3 linked regions of the Drosophila melanogaster genome follow. The protein of the gene in region 1 interacts with the protein of each later gene in a pairwise test. Each region holds a gene or a part of one and is shown in the gene's direction. Other genes may lie near its edges. The genes, in order: Hk, Obp56d and CG4563.

Region 1 (10,933 bases):
TGTACCAGCTAACACAAAAGCACTCTTACCAAATTAATTAAATTAGAAAACAAAACAAGGCGTAATAAAAATTATAAAATACAGCAATTTTCGGTCAAAAAAGGATGCTCAAATGGCAAAGTTGAAGCGATGACAAAAGGAGAACTTCCGCTGATAAAGTGACCCAAATATGGAGAGTAAAACCACACATGTTCCTGAAAATTCATTAAATCATAGATGGAAAAAGATGGCGAAAACCATAAACAAACTAAACAAATTGATTTCTATTTACACCAAAATTACCTGTTTCGTTTACAGATAAACAATCAAATATAAATTAACACAAATTCATAACAACATAATTAAGATAAACCGGTTAATTAGCTCGAACATAAACCCATGAAATCTACACCAAAAAGTACAAATTAAAAAGCCTCCAATTATCTGGTTGTAAAAATTAAGCGAAACGTCAAATGCCTAACTGAAAACAGTGTCATTTGATGGTATTCTTTTGTGTTGGAAAGGTTAGGACCGCCCCGCCCCTTGGGCCATACTACTTCGCCCACTTTTTAAAACCGCCTTTTGTCCACATTTCCAACGCCCAGCTCCACCCACCCACCGTTTTCTTATCGCCAAAGAGTCACGTTTTTGACCCATTTTCACATGCTGGTGCCTAAGCCCATACAGATGGCATAAAAGCTGCTCCGAGTCCTCTTCTACCCCCATTAACCCATGCAGCCAGCCACTTAACCCTCGAGTGGCTCTCGCTGATGTAATGCCATTCGATTTGATTTGCCATGGTTAACCAGATTTGCTTGCCACAGCCATTCGGCATTTTGCGGTTGCTAATGCTTAGCCTTACACTAGACAAAAAGGAGCAAAACATATATATTTTCTTATATTTTAAAGTGCCTTTTTTATTATACCTATCAGAAAGTTTCTTTGGCTTTCCATGTTGATCTGCTAGTAGCAGTATTTATTTTCTTTTCTATGACAATTCAACAGTGGAACATGTTAATTACGTACTAGCTGCACTTTATTATTCACAGTGTATGCGACTATGTGTGTGTGTAAGTGTGTGTGTATGCGTAGGTTAGGTTGATTACTTGCCACATGGTTGACTACAAGTCAGTAAGTTGATGGCCCCAATTTGCGTACGACTCTAATTTGTTTGTTGTGTGTTTTTTCCGGCTCCCATTAGTAAACCATTGGGCCAGCGGGTGACCATCGCCGTGTTGCTCGGTAAATTCCCCAAGCGCCGAAATGAACCACTGACACGCCCTAGGCGCTTCTCTATTTGGCTAACTGGATATCTGGCCATCTGGCAGTACCATTGGAACCATCCATCCCCAGTCGGACCCAGCCTCACTCAATTCAACGCACGTGCCTGGTCATAGACTGGAAAAACAGTTCAACTGGATAACTGGACAACTGAAAAACCACTGAGGTCCTTCCACAGGCTCACGCACACAAGCGCAAGCAACAGGACTTGTTTATCGGTGAGTATTCCACCGTGGAATCGGATTGCGATAGGTTTCGGTTATGGAGGATCACGGAGATTTGAACTTTTCAAAAGAAATGATTAAAGAGATAGCAGACTTTAACAAAGGTCTAAAGATATTGCATACTTTTAAACACCTTTATTGGTGCCAAATCCGTTTGATCCTCCCCCATTGAGCCCTGCATATGGGACCCTGACTAACCTATACCACGTCCTCTTTCCAGACAGCCCCTCGGTTGGGCCCCACTCCAAACTGGCCCATCAATTTTGGTTCTCCTACCCGCCACCGGGCGCTGGCGGCGGTTCCTCAAGTGAGTCTTACGGGTTGCGCATGCGGGGCAGCACCTTGGACCCTCCACTATTACTATTCGTAATACTTCCCATCCCTAACCACCACCCCACCCCCAAAAAAAACGAAAAAAAAAGAAAAAACAAACAAAACCGATTCCCACTTCGTTTGTGTTGTTCGTCCCTCGATGTCTATGTAATCTAATTGATCGATATAACCGAAAGCGATGATAATACATTCATATATAGCCCGTGTATAGTCTATAGGGAGTGCGATTATCGTTTGTTCTTTGGTTCCACTTCTTTTTTGTATGACTAGGCCATCCTGTGAGTCCTCTCTCTGTATATCTATCTGTATTTAACATATATATGTATCTTGTCTGTACGTATGTCTGTATGTGGTACGTTTGTTAAGTGACTCCTCTTAGATGTGAAAGCCACATAAAGTATATCTCTCTTTACATATATAGTCGATGATAACCAATTCCTTCTTTTCTTAATGTTACATGGGTATAACCATATATTTTGCCACATACCAAATATATTATAATATAGCGTAACTGTAGTCAAGGCCCAGAAAACCAGAGCCAAAGAGAGAGGTAATCCGGCTTAAAGGATAAATTCGAGGATAATAATCCCTTATTTTCCTTGGTTTTCTATCATTCGATAGTCCATACAAATAGATTTTATTTTGGGGCTAGCCAAAATTCTTTTATTGTATTAAAATACTAAAAAACAATGTCTATTGGCTCTCCCCAATCAATAAACATAAGATTTAGTTCCGATTTAAGTACGAAATAATTGAAGATTTATTTGTTGTACTTCTTTTCTTTGCTCTTCTTTGATTGTATTGTCTTCTATGTTCAACACACAATAAAAAAAGGAATCATAAAACTAAGGAATCACGTCTAACAAATACGAATTACAAGCGAAAGAATACAAAAATAAGAAAATACAGAATTAAATCGAAAACGGAGATCTCTCCCTTTCAGTCTCTCCTCTCTTTCTATCTGCCTATATGTCTATCTCTTTCTTAAAAGACACACTCAGACACACCGCACTCACCTAACGGTACTAATACCATTCCAATCGTTTCGGTACGCGTCGCGATCGCGTGTAATCAATTGCCAAATTCGACAAGAATCGTTACTAAAATATAATCAAAATCAAATTCGACACAACAAGAACAACATCATCACCACAAGTACAACATCAGAAAAAAAACACATTGAGGTAAGGAAGAATTTCTTTCTCTTTCTGTCTCACACAACCCGCCTCTCTCCGTCTCTCTCTCTCTCTCTCTCTGTCTTTGTCTCTCTCTGGTCTCGTAGTGTTGGCTTAATGGAAATAGAAACCATTAGGCCACAAACAGATTCCCATTAGAAACCCCATAGACCAAATGAAACCAACTACAATAAGCCCCCCCCCCCCCCCCCCTCTACATAGCGAGTTCCGTTATTCCGCTGTTCCGTTCCGTTGGTTGTTCCGTTACGTTACGTGTAGTTCGTTTCGTTCCACGTTCCTTGTTTCCCCTTAGTTGTCTTACATTTTTCGGTTAGTTTTTGTTTTCGCATTTTTCGTAGAGCTTTGATGATGATAATAATAATGACACTACGATGATGATACTACAAAATGAAGACCCTGATGCGTCTGTGTGTATGTGTGCAAGTAGTTTGTGAATGGAACGGGGTCAAAGGTGGGCCAGGTGTAAGCTTGTGGCGCTCAACTAGCGGCACTCGGGCCTCTTTGAAGTCATCAAAAGGGTAGAACAAGATAATTGCATACGCTTGAAGCTTGCGAAAAGGTTAAACAGATAACTAGAATATAAAATGAGTAAACTGTGTAACGGCAATTTGAGTATTTGCCAAGGCTTGGGGCTAAAAAGTATATACATATGCTATGGAAAGTAAACCGGTTTTCTTCGTTTTGCATAGAAAATGATGTTTTATACACACACAGGTAAATAAGTGAAAAATAATAAGTGAAAAATGGCTTTAAATATAACTTAAAAAATTCGCTTGCAATTACAACTTTCCTATGATCAATTTTAATCCACCACAACACAGTGACTCAAATAAGTGTTTACTCACCGCTTGTGACGCACTTGGTGAACTCTTGTGCTCTTGTGGTGGGTTGAATCGGTTGAAGCCAAGGCCAAAGCTCAAAGCTCAAATATTCATGGGAAGCATAAATGTACGAGGCAAGCAAAACGACGGCAGCAAACCAAATGTTGAGTGTTAGTCGAGTAGAGGCCGCTCCTCAAAGTGGGAATGCTCCGAAAAAATAATAAAAAGAGGAAAAAAACACCAATTTAAATAAGTCAAATAATTAACGAACGTGAGAAATACAAAAATGCAAACAAATGGCAATCGTGTTGATGTGTAGATATTGAAATTGATATTGACTGTGAATTAACTTTAATGCAATCAGTGTGCCCACCGCAATTCCAAATTACGTGCGTGACTTGGTCACACTACCGCAAAATGCATATCTGTCTGGTTGCCGCGAACACTCGCAGCTGGGCATTAATCCTCCCGAGAAGATGACACTAATTGGGCCGCGGTCAACTTTGGTTGTGTTTAGTGTTTTGGGTTCAGTGTTTAGCTTTATGTTTTTAGTGGGCCGCATGTTGGTGCTCAGTGTCAGTTTCGCCTGGCTCTTCGGCCGCAACTGACGACTGTTGATTCCGTGTGGGCTTTTCACCTGTCGAAAGGTGCGAATTAGTATGACACCGCCTCGGCTGAGTCGCTATTTGATGGCAGTGCGTGGTGGGCGCGATGGGGAGCAGCGTAAGTAGGGGGGCGTGGCCTTGAACTGTGTATATATATATATATATATTTATATATAAAGACATATATTTGTAGTTGAGAGCGTGTGTGTGCGTGTGTATAAGAGTGCGAGCTGTAGATGTGCATGCTGCAAGTTGTTTTATCCGACCATTTAGAACTTTTCAACTTGCATGCTTAGTGCTTGAGTAGAGGATGACAGTAAAATAATTGCAAATTGAAATACAATAATGAGAATCGATTGAAACAGTTTGAACATGGCCTCTTTTTCTCCCCCGTCTCTCTCTCTCTCTCTCTCTCTTTCTATTCTTATGGATTTCTTGGATTATTTCTATGTTTTTCATATATTTCTAACATTTATGTTTCTACATTTTCTCTGTCATGTTTTAATCTATCCTTTGATTTAAATATATTTTGATATGTTCTTTAACGTTGATCCATTTAACTTGAATTTTTTTTGATTGATTTACTATTATTTCCCTTATTTGTTAATCATTTTTTAATACTTTCCTTAAATTATATAGACAGCAAGAACTCGCAGACCGACGAAGAGAAGCAACGCGATCGACAGCGAAACGAGCGCGAGGCGAAAAAGGAAGAGCAGGACGCTATCAACTACAAGGTGAGTGTGTGTGTGTGTGCCTCTCTCTGTCTGCCTTCTCCCTATCTCTTTCTGTCGCGGCCAATTCGGTGTGCGTGTGTGTGTCTACCGCGCGTGCAAACAAATTAACAATTTGATAAAGCCAATGTAATCCCTCAAAAGAAAAAAAGAAAAAGAAAAGAGTACCAAGAAAAATTATAAAAAAAAGTATAGATAAGAAAAGAAAGCAAATCCAAATGAAGCAGTAATTGAAAATGCAACAGCAATAATAACGATGGCCATGCGATAATCCATTAAACCTGATAGTAAGAATGCACTTTGCGACAATTGCATGCAAACAGCGCGACAAGGAGCAACGCGAGGCCCGTCTGCTGGACTTTGAGATACGCCGCCAGCAGAAGCGGGACGAGCAGCAGCAGCAGCGCCAGCAGCAGCAACAACTGCAGCAGCACCGCGAGCATCTGCAGCAGCAGCATCGCGATCAGCAGCAGTCCAGCGAGAAAAGTCCGCCCACCTCGTCCACCGCAGCCGCCGCCCACCAGACACATTCGCATTCGCAGCAGCAACAGCAGCGGCAGCATTTGCATCTGCAGCAACAGCATCTGCAGCAGCAGCAACAGCAGCAGCAACAACAGTCAACGGGCAGCGGCAGCAGCAACACACCAGTGACCCCAAAGTTGCAGACACCTCCCCCCGATCGATCGCTGCCCCCCGCCTTCCGGAGTCGCTCCATCGAGCGGGAGATTCTTTACGAGCGGAAGCGATTCTCGCAGCCGGAAACCGGCGAGATCAAGGTTTTTCATCACTAACCACCACTAAAACCCCCACTGCCTTAACCCCTTTTTAGAACCCACGCCCACCCATCCATTTCATTTCGCACCTGCCAGCTGCAACTTTTCCATGACCGGAAGGTGGACAAAAGAGCCCGTTAAAGCCTTCAAACTTTTGCTATTGGCATGAATTTCATTTATTTTATAGATTTAGTTCAATTGAATTAATTTATAAATGTTTTTGATAAGCTATCTTCATTTATGATTGGTTGGGTGATCACTTTACTCTTTAAATAAACGTTATAGTTTTCTTTGTAGCTTAAGAAACTCAAGGAACCCCTCTATTTTAGATCCTTTGATACACCGCTTTTGTCCACCTTTTCAATGATGAGCCGCTTAGCTAAATATACTTTCTTTGGGAACTCACTTTGAACAGGAGCTCGATAGTACGACATCATCATCCTCCACACAGCAGACCTTCCCTGGCAGCGCAGTCGGGGCGGGCAGAGGAGCGTCAGCAGCGGTACCTGGAAGCGGGACAGCGATAGCGGTTGCAGTAGCAGGAGCGGGAGCGGGACAATCGGCGACATTGGCGGGGCCGCCGGCAACGGCCGCAGCTGCCACAGCTGCGATCATACCGATTCTGCCGCTCGGCGTTGCAACGCTGCGCGATGATTCCACCGAATCTGAGCAGTCCGTGACCTGTGCGCACAACCAGCTCGATGCCTACCACCGCATCATGTGAGTACAATCTAACAACTAGCCGCAAAATATATGTATTATATATATATATAAGTTTGATATAAAAGCCAACTAAATTGTACACTACACCAACAAGTTTTATTATGTTGGCAAAACCGACAAAGCAAAAATCCCTTGCCCTGCTGTGCAAAAGTCAAAAATTGTCCGAAGCAGCCATTGTCCAACTTTGAAGTCCTTTGTTCTAGCAAAATTCTTGTGTGGCCTGATTTCGCACTCCAAAATCAATGAATGCCAGACGAGCATCACATACAAAGTGTAATGTAATAAAAGAGCGTATTAAATTTGATCATCATCGTGTAAAATGTCCCCATTCCTATGAAATTTAACTGAATATGGTTCATTGACGGGATTGTCAGCGTGGAAAGGCAGTAAATAAGGCGATAAGGGTATCACTCTATTAAACCGATTTTATGGTTCGATTTTATTGTGTGTGCTGAAGAATGAAAAATCATGACTCTAGCTACGAACTCGATGAAAAGTGATTTACTTATTAAAAAATAACACTTTTGCTTAATATATATTTGCATACATTTGCTTAGGTATTTAATGAGTAACAATTTTAGCAGAGGATATAAAAAGTATCTACAAATTGCCATATTAAAGAAGTAACTTAAATGAACACGAACTGTTTTCCCAGAAAATGTAAATGTATCCGCTGTCGCATCTTATTAAGTGTTCTCGGCAAAAGTGTGCAATTATACAGAATCGGATTATTTGCATTTTCCTTACATTGTTTGAACTGCGTTTCGCGGCATTAAGTCAGGCCACCTTGTTTTTTTTTATTTTCTTCTTGGACTTCTTCCAGAAGCTTTTACCTCGTCCAAGTGAAATGAGTGATTTTCGTGGCACAATTGTTTTTATGACTCATACAATTAAATAACAACAAAAGGGCATTCAATGAAACTTTTTGCGAAAAGTTCGAAACAAATCTGAGTAGTGCACTTAACCCTGAAAAGTATGCTACGAAAGTTGCATGTAGAATCCGTGTAAGTGGCATGTAAAAAGCGAGGCATATCAAGTATACGCCATGTAATACAGCAGGCAGTTGCATTTGCATGCCACAGATGGCGCCCACGTGCAGTGGGCTAGGTGCATCGCAAAATAAATGCATTTCAAATGAAATCTGTGTTTGCAATTCCAGCAAGAAATTCAGAATGCTATACAATATTTCTATTTAGTTATATGTTGAAAACAAATGAAAGGTTAAAGCGTAAAAGAAATCATTCCAGGTTAATTAAGAAATCAATCCAGGTTAATTTTTAATGGAAATTCTACAGTAACTTGATTTAAACGCCGCGGTTTCTATTCTAACGTAATTACTATGCGAGCACTTTGCGCGCCTTAAGCTTGATGGGAAAATTAGCAAATAACATGCTTCTGCGTTGGCCTCAAATTAAAATGGTTAATTTTTCATTAAGGCCAAGTCATTAATCGACCTGCCAGGTAAACCCCATCAGCGCACAGGTGCATTTCCGACCGTTTGTAGCCGGGAGAACCGGGGTTTTATTATATTTGATTTGGCACAGCCTGCAGTCTGCAGTCCGCTGTTCCGGCAATCGGATCGAAATTGAGGCATCTAACCGTAACATCATCCAACATTTATGTGCAAAAACGAAATCCGAAACGCAATCAATTGCCGTGAGTAAGTGCCTTTTAATTGCTACGGGCTTCTGTGAATTAATTTTGCTTGCCGAGCGCAAAGTGTAATTTAATATTCCCATGCAGTTAGATTCATATTTTATATGGCCCACATAACGCGGCGCGGCTGTGTATTTAAACACTTATATCCATTGAAAGCTGACCGGGGGTGTTGGTTATGGCCTTTGGCAAGTGACTTCTTTGCACTTATACATTATTCATTATTACTCCGGCGCCATTTGTGCAATATTTGGATTCGTTCCAGCCCGGTTCCCAAGCCAATGCATTAGCCGCAGTCCTTGGCCATTTATTTCGATCAAAAAAGGGTGGCTTATAATGGGGCTTTTAGAGTGTTTCGATGCACTTTTATTAAAAGCTAGCTTCCGTCACAAAGGGTTTTCTAAACAGTGTTTAGATATTTTTTATTTAAGAAGCTAAATCCGGAATGAAGAATCCTTTATTTTTTTAATCAACTTTATTTTTGCCAAAACTTTGTTATATTTATTTTAGCTTTGTTATAAAAAAAGAATTGTTTTGTTATACGTGGGCCTTTTCAAAAAATATACTATTTCTGCTTATGATTCAATCCACGAATTTGGTTGCACTCAAAGTGAATTTATATTGCCTACTTAAGCGGGCAGCCAGTTATTCTGGAGTCTGTGGTCCTGAGGAACCTTAAAGATGAGTACTTATAGGGTATTTATGTGTCAGCGAAAAACATATATATGCACGTGTGTGCAGCATATAAACGAGAGTACATACATATATGCATTTTACCAGAAGGAAAGGCCATGTAGGCCCCAGAGCATAAGCCGAAAAGGCAATCTCGTAAAAAACACGCATTTCCATCCATCTGTAGTACTACTACAAACACACACACACACACGAATGCAGGACACAGAAACACACTCCACTCACACCAACGCACATATACACTCGCAGATTCCAACACACACACACACACACACGCATAAGCCCACTGGCTTTTCCACACTCCCACTTGGAGAATAAAGAAACATGCCGGGCCAATTTGCAACCGCAAAAGAAGAATACTTTAGGGAAGGATACTAAAGAGATAGGGAAAACCAGAAGAAACAGAGCAAAGGACCAAGTGATAGAGAGTAAGGATATGGCGCAGCAAGAGAGGGGACGGCGGGAATGGCGGCTTTTTTGAAACGGGGACACGTGCGTTTTGGGCCAAAATTCACCACAAAAACAGAGAGCAGCCGAAAAAAAAGCTCCGATGTTCGCAAAATTGCGCGCGCTGGCTCTCCCTCTCCCTGTCCCTCTCTTCTCTGATGGCATCTCTGCCCCTAAAGTGTTTAAAAATTAAAATACTAGCTGAAGCGCCTTAATTATTAAGAGAACATTGTCTTTTGAAAATGTTCTCATAAATATAGAAATACACTTGCACGTATATTTAAATGAAAAAGAAAACGAAGGGTATAACTACAACTAATTTTTTAATTACTTCGTCACAAAAAAAAGTATTTATATTTCCGTGCAGGGTATTTCAATGTCGACCTTGTGGCTCACGCTTTATTCTCGTTTTGTTGTTTCTCTGCTGTTTCCTTCGGTTTGCAAATAACACGTGCATTTGTCGTATCTGCCGCCCACCCAGCGCCGACCGCCCATCGTCCTTCACCACCCACCAGACCGCCCAACCTCCCATCTTCCAAAAAGTGTCGCTTCGCTCTTTCGCCTCGCTCAGCGTTCTCTCTCTCTGTCTCTTTCGCCAATTTTCCTATGCCATCTGAGCTGCCAACCATTACTAGCCACAAACTAGCTAACTACCCGACTATTAAAATTAAAGACAAAATTCAAATACAAGTTGAGTAACAGATTGCACGGAATACATTTAAATTATATGTTAATAATTATTTAAATAAAAAATAGATAAGTAAGTAATCATAATATTTTTCACTTACTTTGATTGTTGTGATAGCCAACCAAATAGCCAACTATTTCAGCTCTGTTTGCCAAGTTAGCTGCCTTTGCCTTGGTCACTATTTTGCCATTTGGCTTTCGGCTGGCTGGTTCGCCAGTTTCGTCTGTTTTGCCAGTTTGCATTTTCCGATTTCGGCAGCGAGGCCGAAAAAAGTCGTATATGTTGCTCGGCGATTGCGGATTGAGATAGTGAGAAAGTGAACAAGTGAGCGAATGGCCGAATGGGCGAATGAACAACTGAGCGAATGAGCAGTGGAAGTTCTGGTCTTCATTGCGGTGTTACGTGTTTCGCGTGTCAGACGCTTCGGTTCGCGTTGCGCGCGTTCCGTTGGCGGCGACCATTTGGGCGAGATTATTTAATAATAAAATTATAAATAATTGTAAAAACGAGCGCAACAAAGCGAATAGAAACAGAACAAAATCGAAGACCAACAGTGCGAAAATTGCCCATTTATTTTGTTAACAATTTTTTTTCTAAGTTTTGTTTGTTTGGTGCCAAAAAGTACAAGAAATACGTATTCGTAATATCAAAATGCGCTGCGGCACATAAAATCTTGCCAGTAAAAAAATGGTGGTGCAGATCAGCGGGGGGAGTGACTGAAGGCGAGAAGGAAAAATAAGGTTGTAGCAAGTATTTTGTTGCGTTTGCCGTTAGCAGTAC
Region 2 (9,324 bases), on another chromosome or scaffold:
CAAATTACAAAGAAAATAAAATGCAAATAGGTTTTGTCCTTTATATTCAGGTTGTTCCTTTTTTTCGACAGAACAGAATCTCCTTTTTTCCATCAAGTTTATCCCTCGGACGGAGTTCCAATTTCATGCAGCTGACCACGGACCCTGTAATTGTAATTGCCGCGCTGGATTGGAGTGGATTAAACAATTTCCACATTTAACATGGCGCCCGTCTTTAACCTTTGCCACAATAAATTTTTTCCGGGCTTTTCCTCGCCGTTTTTCGGTATCCTGGCTCCCCGGTTGGAGCTTAATTTTGGTACCAGCGATAAGAATTTTTAGCGACGCTGTCATTTGGGGGCTTTGGCTTTTACGAGGCGGCACAAAAGGACGCATGTCCTTGTTGTGCGTCTAATTAGATGCTTTGCCTAATTAGTTGGTTTTATGTGAGACTCTTTATGCCCCTGGATTACCTTTTGGCTGAAGTTCGCCAAGTTAAGAAGTCTTTCTTTTCGCCAGCTGCAGGATAAGCCGACTCGTCGATATGTGGCATAAAGATTACACAGAGGTGCGATACCAAGCTGAGAATGTTATAAACTTAAACGTTTATTAAAAATTCCGAGCGCACAGCAAAATATCCACAGCATCATGACAATAATGCGAACGAAAGCAGCGCGTTTGCTGCTGATTTTCGCAGCTTGAGATTTTCCATTTTTCCCATCATCGGGCTGGGTGCTTCGACGGCTTCCCCCCCGTTTGGGTTTTTCAATTTCTTACAGAACGAGCACTGCATTCCTTCACCTGGCCCGTCTTTGATGCGTTATATGACAGGGGGATAGGAGGATAGGAGGATTGGAGGTTTCGAGGTCTCGAGCAGCAGCAGCTACAGTTCGGTCGGAGTTCCATATGAACTCCGCATCCCAGCCACTGACTTGTCCCTCAACCGAATTGAACTTGTCACAAAAGAATTCATTTTGCAGAGCTCGGAATTTTTCAGCAGTTTCGGGATGCGGCGACGGTTTCGGAAAATGTGCGTTGAAAAGCTTTGTAAGCTTTGCTTGACTGTTGGCCCGTCCCTATACTTTTCCCCTCCTTTTGTGTTTCGCACATTGTCCCTTATCCAACGCTCCATCGGTTCTGGGTTCGTTAACTGGAATTCAATAAATATTACTAAAACACTCGCATACGCATTGGCAATCGCCTTTTTCTTTTGCGTTTTTATTGGGATGTCAAAGGGAGACAAGAGCGGATTCCAAGAAAAGAACAAAAAACGGCCAGTGCAGACATTTTCACATAATTTCCCCCACTTGTGATCCATTTTTAGGGCCTCCACTCGTATTCCCGGTGGCCAAGTACATTTTGGCTTATTTTATGACGCGTTTTGTTACCAAAACGAAAATTTTTGGTAATACCAAGACATTTAATTGCCTAATTGTTTTGTTTTTGGCATTTTATTGCAGACGGGTCGGTTTTTATGGAGCAAACCCAGCACGCTACTTTTTTTTATGACTTAATTACTTAAATGCGTTTTATTTTGCATGCGGCCATAATCGTAAACAAATTATAGAAGTGGAAATTATGATATCTTTCCCAGTTTTAATGCGTGCCTTGGGGAAAAAAGATTGCCCATTGGATTGTAGCATACTTTTTATACATATTATTTGTAGCACTAAGTCTACAGCAATTAAAAAATGAGACATTATAAAATTTAATCCCAACGTAAATAGTTCAAAACCTACCTATCTTTAGCAAATAGGCCACTATATTTACACAAGTTTTTAGCTTACGTTTCATCTTTTCATCAGCAAATAGTATTCAATGTTCCGCGCTGGCACTGGGCCTCATTATAATTTAAATTAACTGAATTTGCTTTATTTGATTTAAGTGGCTTAGTGTTCCACTGCCTTTGTGGTCCATTGAGAATGTTCTGCTCCAGTTGTGGAAGAGCCAAGGACGCTGGATGGGGCCTTTCTGTATTTATTAGCCAACGCTGGGTTTTGACCCTAAAGGGTGCCTATCTTATCCCATCTGGTGGTGGCTCTGGTTTCCTTTCGGCCATCTCTTTTTATTTTCTGAAATTAATGCGGCAAACACTAATTAATTGCGCAGGTGTTGCAGCTGTTCCGTAGCTCTCTTGTTGTTGCTTCCGGTGTTGTTATTGCATGGGATAAGCCTAATTGAATTTCTGTAGCTTTTTGCTAGGCTTGCGGAATTGGGAGCTGGAGGTCCTATCTCGCCATTGGTTATAATTAATTACACAGCTGCCATTATAGGATACCGCTTGCATTTATTATCTTTAAATTATTGATTTTCATCAGATATGTAGAGAAACAACTGCCACAATTACCGATTTCCAGTTATTAACTGAATTGGTATTATTAACTTTTAGTGAGAGCTGAATATATTTTATTATAAACCTTGCTTTCCTTTTCTAATCTGTTGGTCTAAATAAAACTTCTGGTTCTAGTCCAAATGATTTATGAAAATTGCAACTTTAGTAAGCGCTGACCGTAATCAAATTCACGCTTTGCACTTATTTAATTGTTCTCCTTTTTAATTTCCCATAGCTAATAAATTGACTTTTATGACCGGTCATGAGAAGCTCGTAAAATTTGCATATGACTTCTAGCCGAGCTTTTGCCTTTAAGTTGGGGTTCTTCAACGGTTGACGGCATTATTATTATGTCAACGTAATGTTGTCGTCAAATAGTTTTTCGCGTGACATTTGCATTTCAGTTCAACTGAGCTGAGCTGAGTTGAGTTGAGTTGAGCCCTCGGGTCCGATGACATTTCATTAGCCGTTACCAGTTCTTCGGGCACACATATTTAATAACGTGTGCCATTGTTTTTCATTGTCGTTTTATGTGCTGTTTATATTTTTATGGCATGCCATATAGTATTTAATATTTATATTATATATGAGTCGCATGCGACATTCATTCCCGTTCTATCATGTCTACGATAAAACAGTTTTATTCCTTTCCACTACAGGAAACTTTTGGGGACAGCGAACTTCTTCACCAGGTGGAAAAGCTGGAAAAGTTGAATAGGCTACCTCCACCTCCTTGAACTGAAATCAAACTACTTGAGGAGTCAGCCACCGCTTCGTGTTTGCAGTTATTATTGTCTATAAATCGTTGGAAGGTCTCCGATAGGAGCTGTGGGGCATTATACACGATGACATTATGAATTTATTACTATTTAAATATTTTACTTTTGTTATGGCCCTGGCAGGCGACGATGGGCCGCAATAATCGTTCTGACATTTGTTTTCCCTGGCGTGCGTAACTATTTACCAGTTCGCTCCGGTAACTTCGTCTCCGAAAGTCCAGGGGGTGACCCAGGCACCGGTATATAGTTTGAGTAGGTCATGAATTATCGATGCTGTCAGCAGTAAATATTGATAAAATATATGAGGCAAAGTTCTGGCACGTAGGCATCAACTTTGGTAGCTGCCTCTATTACCATAATTAAATAATTCGGGCAGTTAGCCGACTTAAACGGTTCCGCTTAAAACTCATGCATAAATATATACATATATATACATACATCAGCAAATTACCCGAATGTCACTTTAATTGTTAATCAGCTAGACACATCTGTGCCACAAATTAATCTGCAAACCAGTTTAGTTTGATCGCACGGACTTGAGATTTTGAGAGTCATCTGAATATTTGGACTTTGATAACCGCACTTGACTTCAGACTTTGGAAAAAACCAACAAAACAATAAAAATAGGTAGGAGAACAACTGACAAAGTTAAAACAGGTTTGACGAATCAGACGTTCGTCATTAATTTTATCATGTAATATCAGACTTATTTCAAAAAAAGGGTCTATTAACAAAATTATTTAATTATTAATAATGGCATTAGAATCACCAAGAAATAATTTGTTGCGGTAATGAGGTAGCCTTATTAATATGAGACAAATTTTATAATGGTGGTATTAATAGATATATTTTGGTTATAAGGGTTATATATAGGGAATGAAGAAATATATTTAAGCGCAGACCTTATATAAGGCTTACAAATAATTCGAGCATCTCATGGCCTCCGTTAACTTATATTAAATTTTAAGTGTTACTAAAAATTTTTGTAAGTAATATAAAATGTTGCTTTTATATTCTATTCTCTAAAACTCCCCTATCATGCTTTGCATGCACTTTGTTTTAACACCTCCATAAAAATCAACGTTAGATTGTATTTCAAGTTTAAGGTTTTGGAGTTACGTGTATTGTTAAATCAAATTAGTTGACGTTGACGCTTCGCTGGGCACTCTGACCCTTGGGAAGTACAACACACTTTTAATCGGTGGAAAATCTGAAACTACAATTAGCACTTACATTATGGCTTTGAAGCGATTTTAGCCTAATAATAAGCCCGAGTCTGGGGCATTAGGGCCAATTATAGGTACAATGGAAAGCCGCAGTGAACTTGCTTCATTTACTGATTCGAGTATCTGTTGAACTTTAAACCGAAATGGTAAAAAAAAGTGAGTCAGTTTCGGGTTATCAACAAGATCGGAGAGGGTTTAAGTAAACTAACCGGTGTATTGCCGTGTGTATGTGTAATAATTGCTTATACAGTGTGATCAGCGGAGTAGAGCGAAAACAAAAAGCGATAATCAAAACAAAACTCTGACGAAGCTGCATGCAAAATCGTATAAAAGGCAGATGCTAACAGAATAAATTCAACAGTTTCGATACCAAAGGGTTTCCAACAACATCTCTACCGAAAATGAAGTTCCTGATTGTCCTCTCCGTCATTTTGGCCATTTCGGCTGCTGTGAGTTACAAATAGTTTCTGATTTAAAGGGGTAGTATTGCTAAGTGTATCTTTTGAATATATCTTATAGGAGCTGCAACTATCCGATGAGCAGAAGGCTGTGGCCCATGCCAATGGCGCCCTTTGTGCCCAGCAGGAGGGAATCACCAAGGATCAGGCGATCGCCTTGCGAAACGGCAATTTCGATGACAGTGACCCCAAGGTGAAATGCTTCGCCAATTGTTTCTTGGAGAAAATCGGATTCCTGATCAATGGTGAGGTCCAGCCCGATGTCGTTCTGGCCAAGTTGGGACCCCTGGCCGGCGAGGATGCCGTGAAGGCCGTTCAGGCCAAGTGTGATGCCACCAAGGGAGCGGATAAGTGCGATACTGCCTATCAGCTATTCGAGTGCTACTACAAGAATCGCGCCCACATCTAAGCGCCAAATCTCCGATATTCTCCTGTGTGATAATCTGTCTGTGACTTGTTACTTATATTGTTTTAATTCAGTATATCAATTCGTAAACAAAATTTTTAGATCTGTAAATGTTTTGAATAATAAACTCAAGAATATATTTCGTTTTTAAAAAAAAACTTGACAAGAAACCTTTGCGAGACTATGTTCCAAATAGAAGATCATGCTTAAAGCTTTTACATAACTCTCCTAGAATCTCACTTGGCATTTGTTAATATTTTAAATATTAATGTTAAACGTTTGATCAAATAACTTTTTAGCTGTCCAACAAAAACTTAAAGGAACCTTCCAGGAAAATAACTTACGTAAACCCCTAACAGAGAACGCCTTTTATTGTGTCTCAAAGGAAATTAAGGTGAAATTCTTATACATAATTACTTATGCATATTCGACTTGTCAATGGATGCTCCACTGTATGACCCATTTGCGTTTTGGCCGCGTACCCATTTGCATAACAGTGGGCCGTCATTAAGGACCAACCACTGTCAGACCGTCGTCAGGGGCTTAAGTCCCTGGTACAGAGCGGCGATCCCAGAGGCATTTGGCCGCTCATGTTTGGCATAAATATTGATGAGCGACGGCAAACTTATTGGCACAAAGACCTGGGATCCCGGCGATACAGGATGCGTTGGGGTTCGAGCAAATGAATTGGACACGGGGAGCCGTGTTTTTAAAAGCCCAAATCCAATTAACAAATCATTAAACATTCATTGAGCACGTGTCGCAATTGCATTTACTGGTTCAACATGGATCAGGTGGCATCGGAGGGAACAATTGTTCCGACTTTGGCTTTGACTTTGGCTTTTGGGGAGTTTGGATCGCAGCCAGGGTCCATAATTCATTTTGTCACTTCCTGGGGTCGGTCTGGCTGTAATGTCACTTCCATTTAGCATCCGTTTCAGTTGCAGTTGTCTGCACAAGAGCTGATGGCCGATGGCCGATGGCCTTCCCGGCCAACCGAACAAACAATCACTGATGCGTTTACTAATGTCTATTAAAAAGGCAGCCCAATCGAAGGATTCCACCCCCCCGAGCTAATGCATTTAAGTAGACAGCCATGGCGGCTTGTCAAAGGAGCCAACACGCGTGAGATGGTAGCACATTGATGCTCGACATCAGCCTTTGTCTTGGCCGTCTTGTTTGACTTGTCTTGCTCCCGTTAGTTGGCTTTCAATGGCCAAGGACCAAGGATATCGCTGGAGTTGGGGTTGAGTGCTGATGCTTTGAAGGGGGAGGCTTTCCCTGCGGTTCTCACATTAATGTAATTTAATTTTATAAAAACTTCGCTGCAGGGTGGCTGCCACTTGCTTGTTTCATGCTCCGATGTCTCTCGCTTTTTGTCCGTCCATGTGAAGTTTCTTTGATCTTAAAGACCAATATGTGATGTGGCTGGGGATGCTGCGGTTGTGTTTCCGATTATCAGCAGAAGTCTGTTATTAAGTCCGTCAATTAGAGTGGTCCAAAGAAAGAAGGAGTTCAAGTAAACCAGTTGCTGTGGCTTGAACTAATGTGATTGAATTTGTTTGCAATACAACTAGACTAGTAAGGAATATAATAATTTTATCTTAGAAGGAAAACGTGTTCTATGTACTATCATTTTTCCGCATACAGCTTGTAACCACTTCCATAATCTAATTAAAACTTCTGGTTGTATTTTTTTATGTTTCCACAACTACAACAAGAAAAACCCACATTGCTTGCAAAAACAAATTAGTCAAAAATTACAATGATTATTTTAATTGAAATTGCCAACAATGGTTGTACCGTTTTTAAAACACCTTTATAGAGCAGTACTTAAATGTTTTGTAGATTCATCTACCAAATTGAACCTGAAACTTTTTGCAAACCTTTTTGTATTTGTGCAATTATAGAGACCATTAAATAAGTCAGATGAGTGTTTTTGGCGAATGCTAATTTGAGTTCTCACCCAAAAATGCTATTGGCAATCCACTGATGCATGACACATTATATGCGATGTATCTGAATATGATTACCTGATGGGCCTAGCAAGTGAGGCATGAACATGATTTGGCAATCGATTTGAGCGACAATTAAATAGCAATTTAAACCGATTTCCATAAAGACGACTCTATAAAAGGCTTTTGTTAAATCGCAACAGGCTCTATAGTTGAAAAGTTTTTATAGTAAATCGTCAAACAAATTTTAAAAATATTTCTTAGATGTATTTTCGAGCCAGTTTGATGGCATTGCTTTGCCTCACTCTTAGTGAATTCGTTTCTAAAGCATGGGTAATGTTTTTCATATTTTATATATCTTTTGTAAATTCGACTTATGTAGTACTTGGAATTATATGTTTTATATTTACAAGGTAAATATTAAAAAAGGGAAGTGAATCAAATTTTCTTACAACTAAAAAGACATATTGGAATACATAGAGACAATATATAATTTTTACAAAAATACATTTCATCCACAGACCCGATCGCTTTCCGTCTCGCTGAACATGTCGATGACACGAACCCTGGTTCCAGATCCGCCAAATGGAACAGAAAACAAACTCAGCCAGGAGATGCTGAGGGCTTGTATGCGTAGGACCGAGATCTCAATGTCGCAACTGAAACTCTTTCACATGAGCCTGATGAACAGCGACTACAATAATGACAACGATATAGCCCCTACGCCAGTTCAATCCATTGGCGATGTAAATAACCTGGGTGATCTGGACTTCAATGGCAACTCGCAGATGCCATATCTCGATCTGAAGCATAATGAGCCGCTGCAGTGCTTTGTGAGCTGTCTGTATGAGACCCTGGATTTGGATAGGTACAATGTCCTGCTGGAGGAGGCCTTTAAGAATCAGGTGCAAACGATCATACAGCATGAGAAGGCGGAGATCAAGGAGTGTAGTGATCTTCAGGGCAAAACACGATGCGAGGCAGCCTACAAGCTGCACCTGTGCTACAATCACCTGAAAACTCTGGAGGCGGAGCAGCGTATCCGTGAGATACTTGAGCGGACCGAGGCGGAGAACGAGGGATTCGGTCCGGAGGGCAGCGACTTTATCGACGGCATCCAGCATTCCGGAGAAGCAATGACCACCGCTAAGTCGGAGTAAATAGCTGTGTACTTGTAGGTCTTATTTCTTATCGGTGTTTGCTATATAGAAAATCCACTTATTATTTAAATGTATGTATGAATAAGTACTTAAATTGTAACTTATTCAGCGTTTGAGAGTTTTAAAGCTATAAAATAAAATAAAAACAAGAGTTTTGCATTTCAGCGTAATTAGTTTAAACAATTTTAAGTTGCTAGAGTTTTTTTTTTATTAATTAAAAGCTTTAATATTTTCTGATGTGTTTGAAAAGCTGAATACCATATTATAGGGCTCAATTTTGGGCTTAACTTTTTTCTAAATGTTTTTAACGGTTCCATAGCATAGTTTTGGGCAGATTGTTAAGTAAACTAATGTGTTGATTTGAATGTAAAAAGAAGAAAACGAATGTAAGCAATTTTATCATACTTAAAATAAGTAAGTAACCATTTCCCAATCATTAATACACTAATAAGAAGACCCATATTATGTTATTATATGCAGCTGTATGTCGAATAAAAATTGTTTGTAGAAACTAAGAAACACAAAAGCCATTTCACTTAAAACATAAGAATCAATCTTAAAAGAAGAAAATCTATTTCACGCACAATAAGTAAATAAATCCAAAGTCCAAACAAAGCTCACTGACCCGAATGATCATCTAGGCAGCGATGATTTAACGCCTACTGGTTAAAATGGGAAAATTGGATCTGAATTAAAAATAACCCAGTTTAAAATTGATAAATTTTATTAATTGAATTTTAATAAAATAATAACTTGATTGGCAAAATTAAGTCTGGAACTTAAGCATGTTACGCGTATTTAAGCCATATTATTGTGAACGAAATTCAGTTCGACAGTGAATGTAGCTTTGGAAAGATGAAACTTATCTACTTGTTGGTTGTATTCCTAATTTTCGCTCTAAGCGAACTAGTAGCGGTAAGTTGGATGAAACGTTGCTTTAGGGATAATTCATCATTTTATTCGCATTTTTAAAACAGGGCCAGTCAGCTGCGGAATTGGCAGCCTACAAGCAAATTCAACAGGCCTGCA
Region 3 (10,598 bases), on another chromosome or scaffold:
AGATACACGTTTGAGTGTTGATTTACATTTTTGATTTATTTTATTTATTTAAGCCATGCCTTGTGTCTCTGTGGGTGTGTCGTCGTCTAGGCCACAGAAATGCCAAATGGCAGAGCAACAAAGCTGGCAAAAATATTGCTGCCCATAATTTTCATGCTCTCATTCGTATATTTTCTGCATTTTTTCGTTATTCGGTTTTTCGGTTTTGTGGATTTATCGCAGATTTTGTTCTTTATGTAAGTGTTTTGTGTCCTCCCCTTGCCGCTGAGCCCCTTGCTTAGGAATTCCGGAGAGTTGAGCCACTTGAACAGAGTTATCATGGGCGGGTCCGCAAATGTTTCGATGGCTTACGGACCCCTACAAATAGTCCTGCTGACCCCGGGTTCAAGTAACCAGACAGCCAGGACTCGACAGCCAGGGTATGGGCTTGTACTAATATCTAACAAAGTTACAGTCATGATTGCTACCAGTTTTAGACAGGGAAAGTGTTGGCTGAAACTGTTTGACATTCGATTAAGTGCAACAATTTCAGCTTGATATGAAATTTAAGGAGCTCGATACTCATGGCCTCACCAGATTTTATGATTTGCCCACATTTTAGTTGCCCATTTGGCCGAGGGCGAGTTTGCGAGTGAACAGGTCAATCATCAGTTAATTTACCCCCATGATGCAGTGCTCCAGTGCTTAATGGGCCATAAGTCGTAAATTATATTCTTCCAAGAGGCTTCTAAATTTATTACCAGTAAAATTTGTGTTAACGTCCAGTCGGTAATTAAATTATTTGCCCTGCGGAATTGGATGTTTTGTTGTTTAAAGCACAGATCTCCATCTCCCACAGACGTGTAGCCAAGACAAGCAAACAAACAGTGGAGCAGTGGAGCACCTAGGGTGTCGAGCGTAGCGAGGCTCCACTGTAGTTCGTTCGGTCGAGTGGCTTGTGTATTTTTCATAATTATGTGTGCACATTACTCATGAGCAGCCAAATGCAAACGGGGACAGTGGCACACACAGGGTGTTAAGTCCGTGCACGGGGGGCCCACTGTACAGTAGCTAGGCAAACATTTGCCGTATATTATGGCTAATTTAATTGACTTCCCCAGCTTCCTTTTGCAAGTGTTGTGTTGTGTTTTGATTGGGCGCCTGTAGTTGCTGTGTGGCGAGCGGCAGGGGGATTTCCCGCCTTGTGTTTGAATGTGGGTGTGGTTCCCTTTGATGTTGGCCAGAGTTGTTGAAGAATGTCCTTATTGACAATACAAGGGCCCCGAAATACCAGACGCCACAATATCAAGCGCAATCAGTTGGGCTAAAGAGGTGAGCTGAGGTAACATTGTGAACTTTATGAACTCGATGGAATCGTTGGAACAGAACCTTGAAAAATTACCAAGAAACATGACGACGGGCCGATATTGGTCCTTTGAACTTCCCCATTCTCTATGATGAATATTCACTCAAATACATATGCAATTGCCAGGCATTCTCGCAAATGCCACACAAATACCCCGCACATCCAAATCCATTCTCCAGTGGCCAAGACGGCATGTTTGGCTCTGTTTGGTTCCATTTCTGGTGCTAATGTTCTGGGAAATGCGTAGGGACAGGAAATTCCTTCTGGTGGGCCCAGCATGCTCTATATTCACTTAATTATAGATGCGACACGCACAATTTCTGGTCCTTCTCAGTGGGTATTGTAATGCGAGTGGGTCCCTCCGACAAGCCGGGGCATATTTATGCGCCTGGGGCTGACCCTCTGGGATTCGTGGGCTCCTTGTGTCCATTTCATAATGGGACACGAAGCTACGATAAAGTAGCAATTACAGAAGTAGTAACACACTGAAATGTCCAACAAAAGGCCTCTAAAAGGACTTTCGGATTCTTCCAAATTAGACTACAAGCGAATAGCTGGTTTCTAGGGAAACAATTCAATGAAGCTGTAATAATTGACATATTCCCGAGAAAAAACTAAAACAAATTTAAGATTTGTTCCACAACAAGCTGAAGCTAGTGCTTTCATCCACACAATATATGGTGTGCATGCGGATATTATTTTTCAATTTTAATGGTTATGAAAACTTTAAACTTTAATTGATCTATTGATATCGTGATATTGTTTTATTATCTCAGATACTTCAAAAACCTGCTTGTACAATAAAATGCTTCAAGTAAAGTTCATCAATGGAATCGAGTGTACACTTTTCAAAGGACGTTCGTTGCACTCACCATTCACATTCACATCACACGCCCAATCTGTTCACTTTGCTGGCGGTTCACGTAGTTAACCAAACAGGATCGAAGGACTGAAAAGCGCACTTTTCCACAAACTCCGCTCTGCAGTTGGGCCGGAAAAGAAACGAAACCGCGGCAGCTTTGCTTAACTAAATTTCGTTGTCAAAACTTCAATTGTTGGGGGCCAGGAGGAAAAGTTCGGAACAAAACATTTTGACAGGCCAGGAAGGAAAGGAGGGACAGGCCCGAGTGAAGGGTTGGGCCCAAAAAACTTTCGACGTGTGAGGGCCAACTGCGAATGGGCCGAGTTTCAGTTTCGAGCGCACTTAACTACCACGGCTAACTTCGCAGCACTTAACAACACTTGAGCAAACTTTTTGCTAACCGCACTGACTAGTTTGGCAATATGTTAGGCCCTTATCTGTGGCTAATTCGTGGCCTGAGTCCTTACCCCTTGGGCTCCCCAACTCAAACGGATCCCGTGAGTGATTTTCCGACCAACTCGTGAGCCGAGCTGCAACCGCCTCGTCGAAGGAATCACCGCAAACTGTCTGAGCGTGTCCAAGTCCCCAGACAGCAGACTGTTGGTCCGTTCCTTCCCAGCATCGGGTGTGCTGCATCCGAGTCGGAGCCCGAATCCTCGGCCAAGAAACATCGCCGGGCTTTATGAATGGGGCGATGTTTCGGAATGCTGCGGAATCGGAACCCGTTTTGCGCATGCCCACGGTGCGTATGCAAGATTTATGACAGTTGCGCTTCGGCGGCATCCGTCGAGCACGTGGCGGACCACCAACAAGTGTGATAAGCGTGATAAGGCCCCGAACGCAAATCCAAATGTTTTCCACCGAGCCACCGGGGGATTGGTGTCTAAGGTCAGGGACACTGACCGCACACCGCTGATACCAGACAGTTGGAAGCAAGTGCGAAAAAAGTACGGAAACTATAGTTTATGAAAGTGACCATCGTATCTAGGATCTAAGTATATATCTCTATATTGCAGTGAATATTAATAATTAACTTCGAGCTTAAAATGACTTATTATCTAGAGGTGGTATTCCAATTGTGGGAACCATTAAAATCAAATGCAAAATGATGTCTCACGGTGGGCAGTGTTGGAGCTGATAAGCCGCCTGCTTACAAACTAGATATCAGTGGGCCCAATTAGTTTCTCCACTAATTTCTTATCGAAAATTTGGAACCCCATCAAGGAAGCCTATATTCATTCAGAAAACAATAGGGATCTCCAGTGAAATAGTATTCTTATCAGGCATCGACAGTCCGCCGTATTATGCAACTATTTGCACTTGAGACACAGTTACCTCGCCATCCTGGCAACAAAGTTTTAGTCTTATCACACAGGTGAAACCCCCAAGCGCAGGTGCACTTTCATTCAGAAAGAATTAGTGACGCGGAGGGCGATAAGCCGTGGAATAATAGTATTTCCTTATCAGCCATCGACTGCTAATTCAATTATGTAACAGTTCGCACTCGAGTGATGTTAATTAATTAAGCCGGCACTTGAAGCACAAACTGGCTGTCTGTCCGTCGGATTAGTCATCCACAAGTACGGCCATAGCATCTCGTCAACCCGACATACTTGCGGTGGAATCACCTGGGAGGTGGGGGCATCTCATTATAACGCACATTATTAACTGACGCCTCGTGTCACGCCCGAGTGGGCAAGGAGACCACGTTGGGGTAACCCGCCAGGACTGGCGCCCAAAACCGCCAATCAAATCGGCATCGCAATCGCAATCGCACTCGCACTCGCACTCGCTGACTCGGAACGGCGGCTCGTCCTGCCCGAAAGTCCGTAGGACTTAAAGCCTTAAGATGCAGTTTCCTGCGGTGGCACCCCCCATTTGCATGCCAATCGTCGGGAGCATCTTGTCCGGGTCCTTGCTTATGCATTTCGCCGGGTCCTGCTCATTTTGCCAAACAAATTCAGAAACACTTTAAACTATTTTGCTCGCTTTTGGCCGCTCTGTCTGTAATTTCATGTTAATATATGCATGCAACCGAACTCCCGGAGCTTTTCGAGGTACAGCCCCCCTTTTGGGGCGCCGACACACAATGCAAATAGCGCAACAGGGCGTGGCCCTCCCCGAAATTATTACAGCCATAATAAAATGCCGGCGTTGAGTTCATTTAAAAGGAACTATTTCGGAGAGTCCTTTGAAAGCGGCGCAGAACAACATTTAAGTTCAGGTTAAGCTGGCGAAATAGTTTCTGAAAACTTAAAGTAAACGTTCCAGGCGGGTCAAATAGATACTTCAAAGGATATTTAATATCACGAGCTTAAAACTATTTACAATATAAAGCGCAATTCTCTGTTAATCAATCACAAAATACATTTTTTATGCCACGTCCAAGTAATACCAGGTGCAATCAAATTAGAACGAAAAATATTGTACTTGCAAGGTAATCCCTTATAGTTTCCAAGATATCGTTCGTCAGAATCTATCTGTTAAATATTTTTCTAAGAATATAGTACAGCTTTTTATCTGACAAAAGTTCGGGAATTAATACTTTTGACCCCGGCGAAGTTTGCTTACTCACCTGCCTCTGAAAGGTGTTCCCATGGGACAAGTGGTACGGAAGTCACTGCCTCCTGGAGCGGAAATTAAAAAAGTGACTCCGGCTAGATTAGACGAGCCCACCTCGGGAATCAGCTGATGTTACCGTAAATCTTCGACTTATTTTGGCCAAACTTTGGACTCGGCAAGTGTAGCGATTAATTGCTTAATTGATATGATAAGCGCCCCTTCAGGGCGATATAAAAAGACAACGTAACGGCTCTGGGCACTCAGTAGAGATTTAGAATTGGACTAGCAAAATGCCGACAAAGGCGGTTTTCCCCACCTTCTTCAACAAGGAGACCCAGGTCTGGAGTGGCCCGCCACGGCCCACGGTCTACGACCACAACACCTCGGTCGGTCAGATCGTGTTCAACTCCCTGAGGTGCTGGCCCACCAATGTGATTCAGGTAAACGATTGCGTGACTGGTAGCCGGCGGAGACGGGAATCTGATGAGCTCGATTATATAAAAGTAGATCACCGACGACGACGGCACCGTGCTGACCAACGCCGACATGCTGGCCTACGCCACCCGGATTGCCCTATTCTTTAAGAGCGAGGGCTTGACCCAGGAGGACCGCGTCGGGATCATCGCCAACTCGAGCACCTTCGTGATCCCCGTGGCCACCGCCTGCTTCTTCCAGGCCACGCCCTTCCACGCCGTCAACTACTCCAGGGAGCCGGCCATCGTACAGGGTCTCTACTCGGTGACCAAACCCAAGATCATGTTCATCGACGGTCCGGACTACGACCGCATCAAGGAGATCACCAAGGAGTGGTCTCCCAAGCTGATCACGCTCACGGGTAAAGTGGAGGGCGTTACTAGCATCGAGGACCTCGTAAAGCCCCATCCCGCCGAGAAGATCTATGTGTGAGTAGTTTGAGATCTTCAATCAATTTAAATTTCAATAAATTCATTATTTTAAATATCTTTCAGACCTGCTTCCCTGGCCACTGGTGGCGACCAGATCGCCGTGGTCCTGTGCTCCTCCGGCACTGCTGGCTTGCCCAAGGCAGTTGCCCTCTCCCACCGCCACATTGCATCCACCAACTCGTGAGTTCTCAAGTTCAAAGCTCCCAGACTAGCCAGTCTAACCCATCTCTTCCCACAGGCTGTGCATCAGTACCGATGTGCTGTACACCAGTGCCACCATCGACTGGATGACCGGATTCTCGATTACCGTAATGAATCTCACATGTGGCTTCACTCGCATCATATCCAGGAGGACATTTAGCGCCGAGACGGCTCTCTACCTGGTCAGCAAGTACAAGGTCACCTGCCTGGCAATGGCGCCATGGCAGGCCTACGAGCTCTTCACCAGTCCACTGGCCACCAGCGAGCAACTGGAGTCCCTGAAGATAGCCTTCGTGATTGGAGGATGGATATCCCTGGCACTACTGCGGCGGGCCCAGGAGCTGCTGCCCAAGACCTACGTGATGTTCTCGTACGGAACCACGGAGACGGGAGTGGTGACCATCAACATCGACCACAGTCTGGAGTGCTCTGTAGGCAGACTGGCGCCCGGCATGAGGATCAAGATCCAAGGCGAGGATGGCCAGCAGCTGGGCGTGAATCAGACGGGCGAGGTGCTCATCGACATCGGCCTGAAGTGGGAGGGCTACCTCTCGAACCCGGAGGACACGGCCACCACCCTCCAGGATGGATGGATCAACCTGGGCGACCTGGGCTACTTCGACGAGGACAACAACCTGTACTTGGTGGACCGCAAGAAGGACCTGCTGAAGTACAAGTCCAAGCACTACTGGCCCAACGAGATTGAGCAGATCATCGCCGAGCTCCCGGAGGTGGAGCACGTGTGCGTGGTAGGCGTGCGGGATGCGAGATACGGTGACGCCGCCGGAGCCCTGATCATCAAGAAGGAGGGCGCCGAGATCGCCGACCAGAAGGTCATCGACCACGTGGCCCAGCGGGTGGTGGTGGACTACAAGCAGCTGAATGCCGGAGTCATCTTCGTGGACAAGTTCCCCAAGAACGCCAACGGCAAGGTCATGAGGAGTTTGGCACGCGAGGTGTTCGAGAAAACCAAGCCCATTACCTTCTAACACCTACAATCACTATGTACTTTTAAAATTGAGCTACCTGGTTTAATGTGAGGACAAAATTAAGTTCTTGTTGCTTGTTGTTAATTCGTGATAATTAAAACTTACATTTGATAGATTACGTTTCGAGCTGTTGGCTTAAAGTTGTCTGTTCTTTCTAATTAAGTGGGTATGCTATCAGGAATATCATATCCGCATTGCTTTAATATCTATATTTTGAATTTAATTAAATTGCTAGGTACGCAACGAGAGATAAGATGTAGCTTCAATAAAGAAACTGCTTGTCATGCACTTCGCCACTTATCTACCCACAGATAGAGATAATAGTGGCAAAGTATTAATTATGCAAAACGAGAATCTCAGTTAAAGCACAGTAAATTAAAACAGCCACCAACCACCGCAAAGTGCATTTAATTCAGTTCCCTGTTTTGAATAGCTTTTAACCACGTTCGAATGGTCTCTCGACGTGGCTTTCCGGACTCCAAAGTCCGAATAATTGCGAATTGCGCGCGGAAGAGGCAAATCCATGGTTTGATCCTTGTTGGTATATGAACACCTTTTGTGACGGCGAAATGCGGCAATTTACGGTTATGGAAATGGAAATGAAAATGCCTGGCCGTCCGATTGCAATAATTTACCTTCCGGTCGATGGTGGCATTTTGTGTTTCCGGTTGCGTTCAAAGCTATCGCAACCGCTGTTTCCGCCGCATGCGGCACAATCTGCTCGATTTCGCTGCTCTTTCACAGGTTATGGTTATGCAAAAACACAGATGACCAGACTGGCCAACCCAGCAAGTTCAATGTAGCAATAGTAGTCCTGTTTGCTTTTCGCTGCTGGCTGGCTGGAGTGTCCTAGTGGCTCCTAAAGACGCATCCCTTCTGCTGCATCCCACTGCACCCGCATTGCATTCTTGACCCGCCGTCGTCGCCATCGTAAATTATTCAAATCTAAGTCGTAAATAAGCGCGCATAAACATAAGCACAATCGCTGTTCGTCGGCCTGCTCTTGCCACAGACCACGCCCATAGGACATCTCAGCAGCTCCGAGATTCCAGGACTCGTCCCTCACAGCGTCCGTCTCCGGATGCCACAAGCCCTCGAGAATCCAGTGGCAAATTTCTGAAATCGCCTGCTCTCCATTTGAGTTTGCAGCTGCAAGTTTGTGGGAATGCTCGGCAATAATTTGAAAATGTGTTGGCTCTTCTTTAGGGTCTCGAAAATACCATGAGCTGCCTTAAAGATTTTTCTGTGATAGTAATAGGTTATTAGGCTGATGAAATGCACAATCATGAATGGTATTATAAGATGGACTTAGCGACGAAAAATCAATGTCATTGAAAGCATTTCTAACTTTTATGTTCATATCAGAATAGCTTGGTTATTCACTTTAGTTAATATGGATCTAAAATCAGTACTGGCACCTGTAAGCGTGATTGACGTTTGACTAACGCATGAGGTGATTTCGGATTTGGTTCGCCGGATTGCTGACAGGCATGCCGTCCATACCGAATCACCCATCGTAGGCGAAGGACTTAACAGATCCTGCCATTGATGCCGGCTGAAAGGACTCAAGGGTCTTGACTCCGCGGCCGGAGGCAAGTGTTTGATTGATGGACGCAGCTGAAGGGCTCCGATTGCCCGCTCGGCTGAGTGATGTGGCAGGCAGCGTCTTTATCTGCGGAGGACACCCGATCATGGCCTGCTTTATTCGCCACCCCCTCCCTGATTACGGCAGCACCACGGGGAACCTTCAGCTACACCACAGCGCAGACTGCTCCTCCAAACAACCATGTTTACATGCAATTACCGTCTCAGTGTTTCGCTGTCAACTCGAATGCTATTTGCCATTGTTTATTACAGCAAGCTCTCGACTCCATTTGGTGGGAGGACCTGCGTGGGTGGAGTCCAGCGGGCGATCCAGGTGATTCAGAGAATTCGGGCTGCGAGTGGACCGGTCTCGTGTCGGTGGCATTCTTAATTGCATTGCTGCCAGCAATGCATCATCGCAGAGCACTTTCAGCTGCAGGAGCTGGTAAAAATGTTCATCGCTAATGTCGCAAATGTTTGCCGTTGGCTTGTGACTCCGCTCTTGGCCAAAACACGAAACATAGCCAAATTGCCATGGAATCGGAGGTGGTCGTAAAGAGAACGTTAATGCAATTGCTGCCTTTGTGCTTCTGAATTTACACTCGTTATTTCAAGCTCCCCAGAAGGGAATTTAGGGTCTGTAAAAATAATATTTATAATAGAAATTTCTGTGATAAGGACTGACAGATACGACATCCAATGTACCTAATCCATTGTTACAAGCCCACCCCTAAACCTTCGGTTATTGTTCTTAATTTATTGCAGATAACAGATTGGATAAGCCAATTAAAATGCGGAGATTTAAATTCACTTGGAAGCTTGAAAGGACTACTCGGACACTTTGCAATGAAGACCTACAGCCAAAGCAATTTAAGTTGTTAGGCCTCAATGAATTATTCATTGCCAGTCGTTGTCCTGGCCTACGCGTCGATGATTAAATCAAATCACTTCAACCCGTTGCCAATGCCCCAAAAATAGCCAAAATCACGCCCAAGGTCGCCGCACACCACCCACCGCCCATCATCCCCACTCGCCGGTCATCCTTATCAGTAGCATTGTGCAAACGATGCCCACGGGCCAAATTACCAAAGCATTCCGCAGCATGGCAACTGTCGGCGATTTCAAGAGGTTAATTGTGGCGCATCCCGCCTAATGCCACGAAATTTCTGTTTGGTGGGTGTCCAAGTCTGGGGAAAGGCACTCCCGCTTCCTATTCGAAGCTCGTTGGCTTGGGAGGAAACAAACAAACTTCCAGCTGACTGGAGCCAAAGTTCGAAAAGGTCCGAGAAGGTCAAAGGTTGCGCCATCGAAAAACAGAGGAATAAATAGCAGTCACTGCGGACAGTTATTGGGATCCAACGAGTTTAAGCTCTCTGATTAAATCTCAATTTTTACGGAGTGCTGTACATCAGTTCTTGAATTCATCACACTCGTAACGGATGCATGGGCCAGAAATTGAATGGACATTTTCATTCAGCAGCATTCTGGGCATTTCGCTTTGATTTGGATTTCCATTTTGGTGCATTGGACATTTGCTTTTAATAAAAATTCATCAAAAGCCAACAAAACGCCAGATTCACAGGCAGAGGCAGTGGCAGTGGCAAGGCAGAGGCAGAGTCAGAATCATGTGCGCCAGAAGTCATAAAAAGGGGTGAAACAATGGCGAGCGTGCAACCGGAAACGGAAGTCGACGCAGACAAACACCAGATACGAAAGGGCGCCATTGCGAAGGGGAAAGGGAGGTGGTGGGAGATGAGAATGGGAAAAAGAAAAGGATAAGAGACGGGCCAAGGCTCAAATGGAACTCGAGTCAGGAGCAGAGACAGTGACAGCAGAAATAAGCTGCCCTTTTCTTTCTTCTCGGTTTTCCCAGATGATTTTTAAATAAGCAAGCATGCGGAGTAGGTACCTCCGTATTTTTATGGCATTCCAATTTGAGCGAAACAGAGAGGTCCACAGCTCCAGAAACAACAACAAGGGTGCGTCCTTTCGGCCAAGGACTAATAGGCACAGCCTTGACAGCACGTCCTGCATGCGGACCGAAATGGCAGCAGCCATAAACGAAAATGTGTAAAAAGCTTAAGCGGCACTAAAAGAATTCCCCACCCCGGCGACCTCCCAAAATGGCGAATAGGTGCATAATGGCCGCC

Evidence for each region.
Region 2: the proteins of Hk (region 1) and Obp56d interact in a two-hybrid assay, tested with the Drosophila melanogaster proteins (one large-scale study listed by BioGRID).
Region 3: the proteins of Hk (region 1) and CG4563 interact in a two-hybrid assay, tested with the Drosophila melanogaster proteins (one large-scale study listed by BioGRID).

The regions. Positions count from the first base shown.
Region 1 is NC_004354.4:10,249,736-10,260,668, reverse strand, and holds the start of Hk (hyperkinetic), read left to right. Parts: upstream 1-4,000; 5' UTR 4,001-4,493; coding exon 4,494-4,557; intron 4,558-5,078; coding exon 5,079-5,176; intron 5,177-5,496; coding exon 5,497-5,949; intron 5,950-6,361; coding exon 6,362-6,666; intron 6,667-10,933.
Region 2 is NT_033778.4:19,699,144-19,708,467, reverse strand, and holds Obp56d (Odorant-binding protein 56d), read left to right. Parts: upstream 1-4,552; 5' UTR 4,553-4,717; coding exon 4,718-4,765; intron 4,766-4,835; coding exon 4,836-5,183; 3' UTR 5,184-5,544; downstream 5,545-9,324. Other genes in the region: Obp56c (Odorant-binding protein 56c), read left to right, coding at 7,400-7,498, 7,657-8,295; Obp56b (Odorant-binding protein 56b), read left to right, coding at 9,151-9,210, 9,273-9,324.
Region 3 is NT_033778.4:24,447,467-24,458,064, reverse strand, and holds CG4563 (uncharacterized protein), read left to right. Parts: upstream 1-5,024; 5' UTR 5,025-5,059; coding exon 5,060-5,209; intron 5,210-5,276; coding exon 5,277-5,671; intron 5,672-5,737; coding exon 5,738-5,854; intron 5,855-5,912; coding exon 5,913-6,864; 3' UTR 6,865-6,981; downstream 6,982-10,598.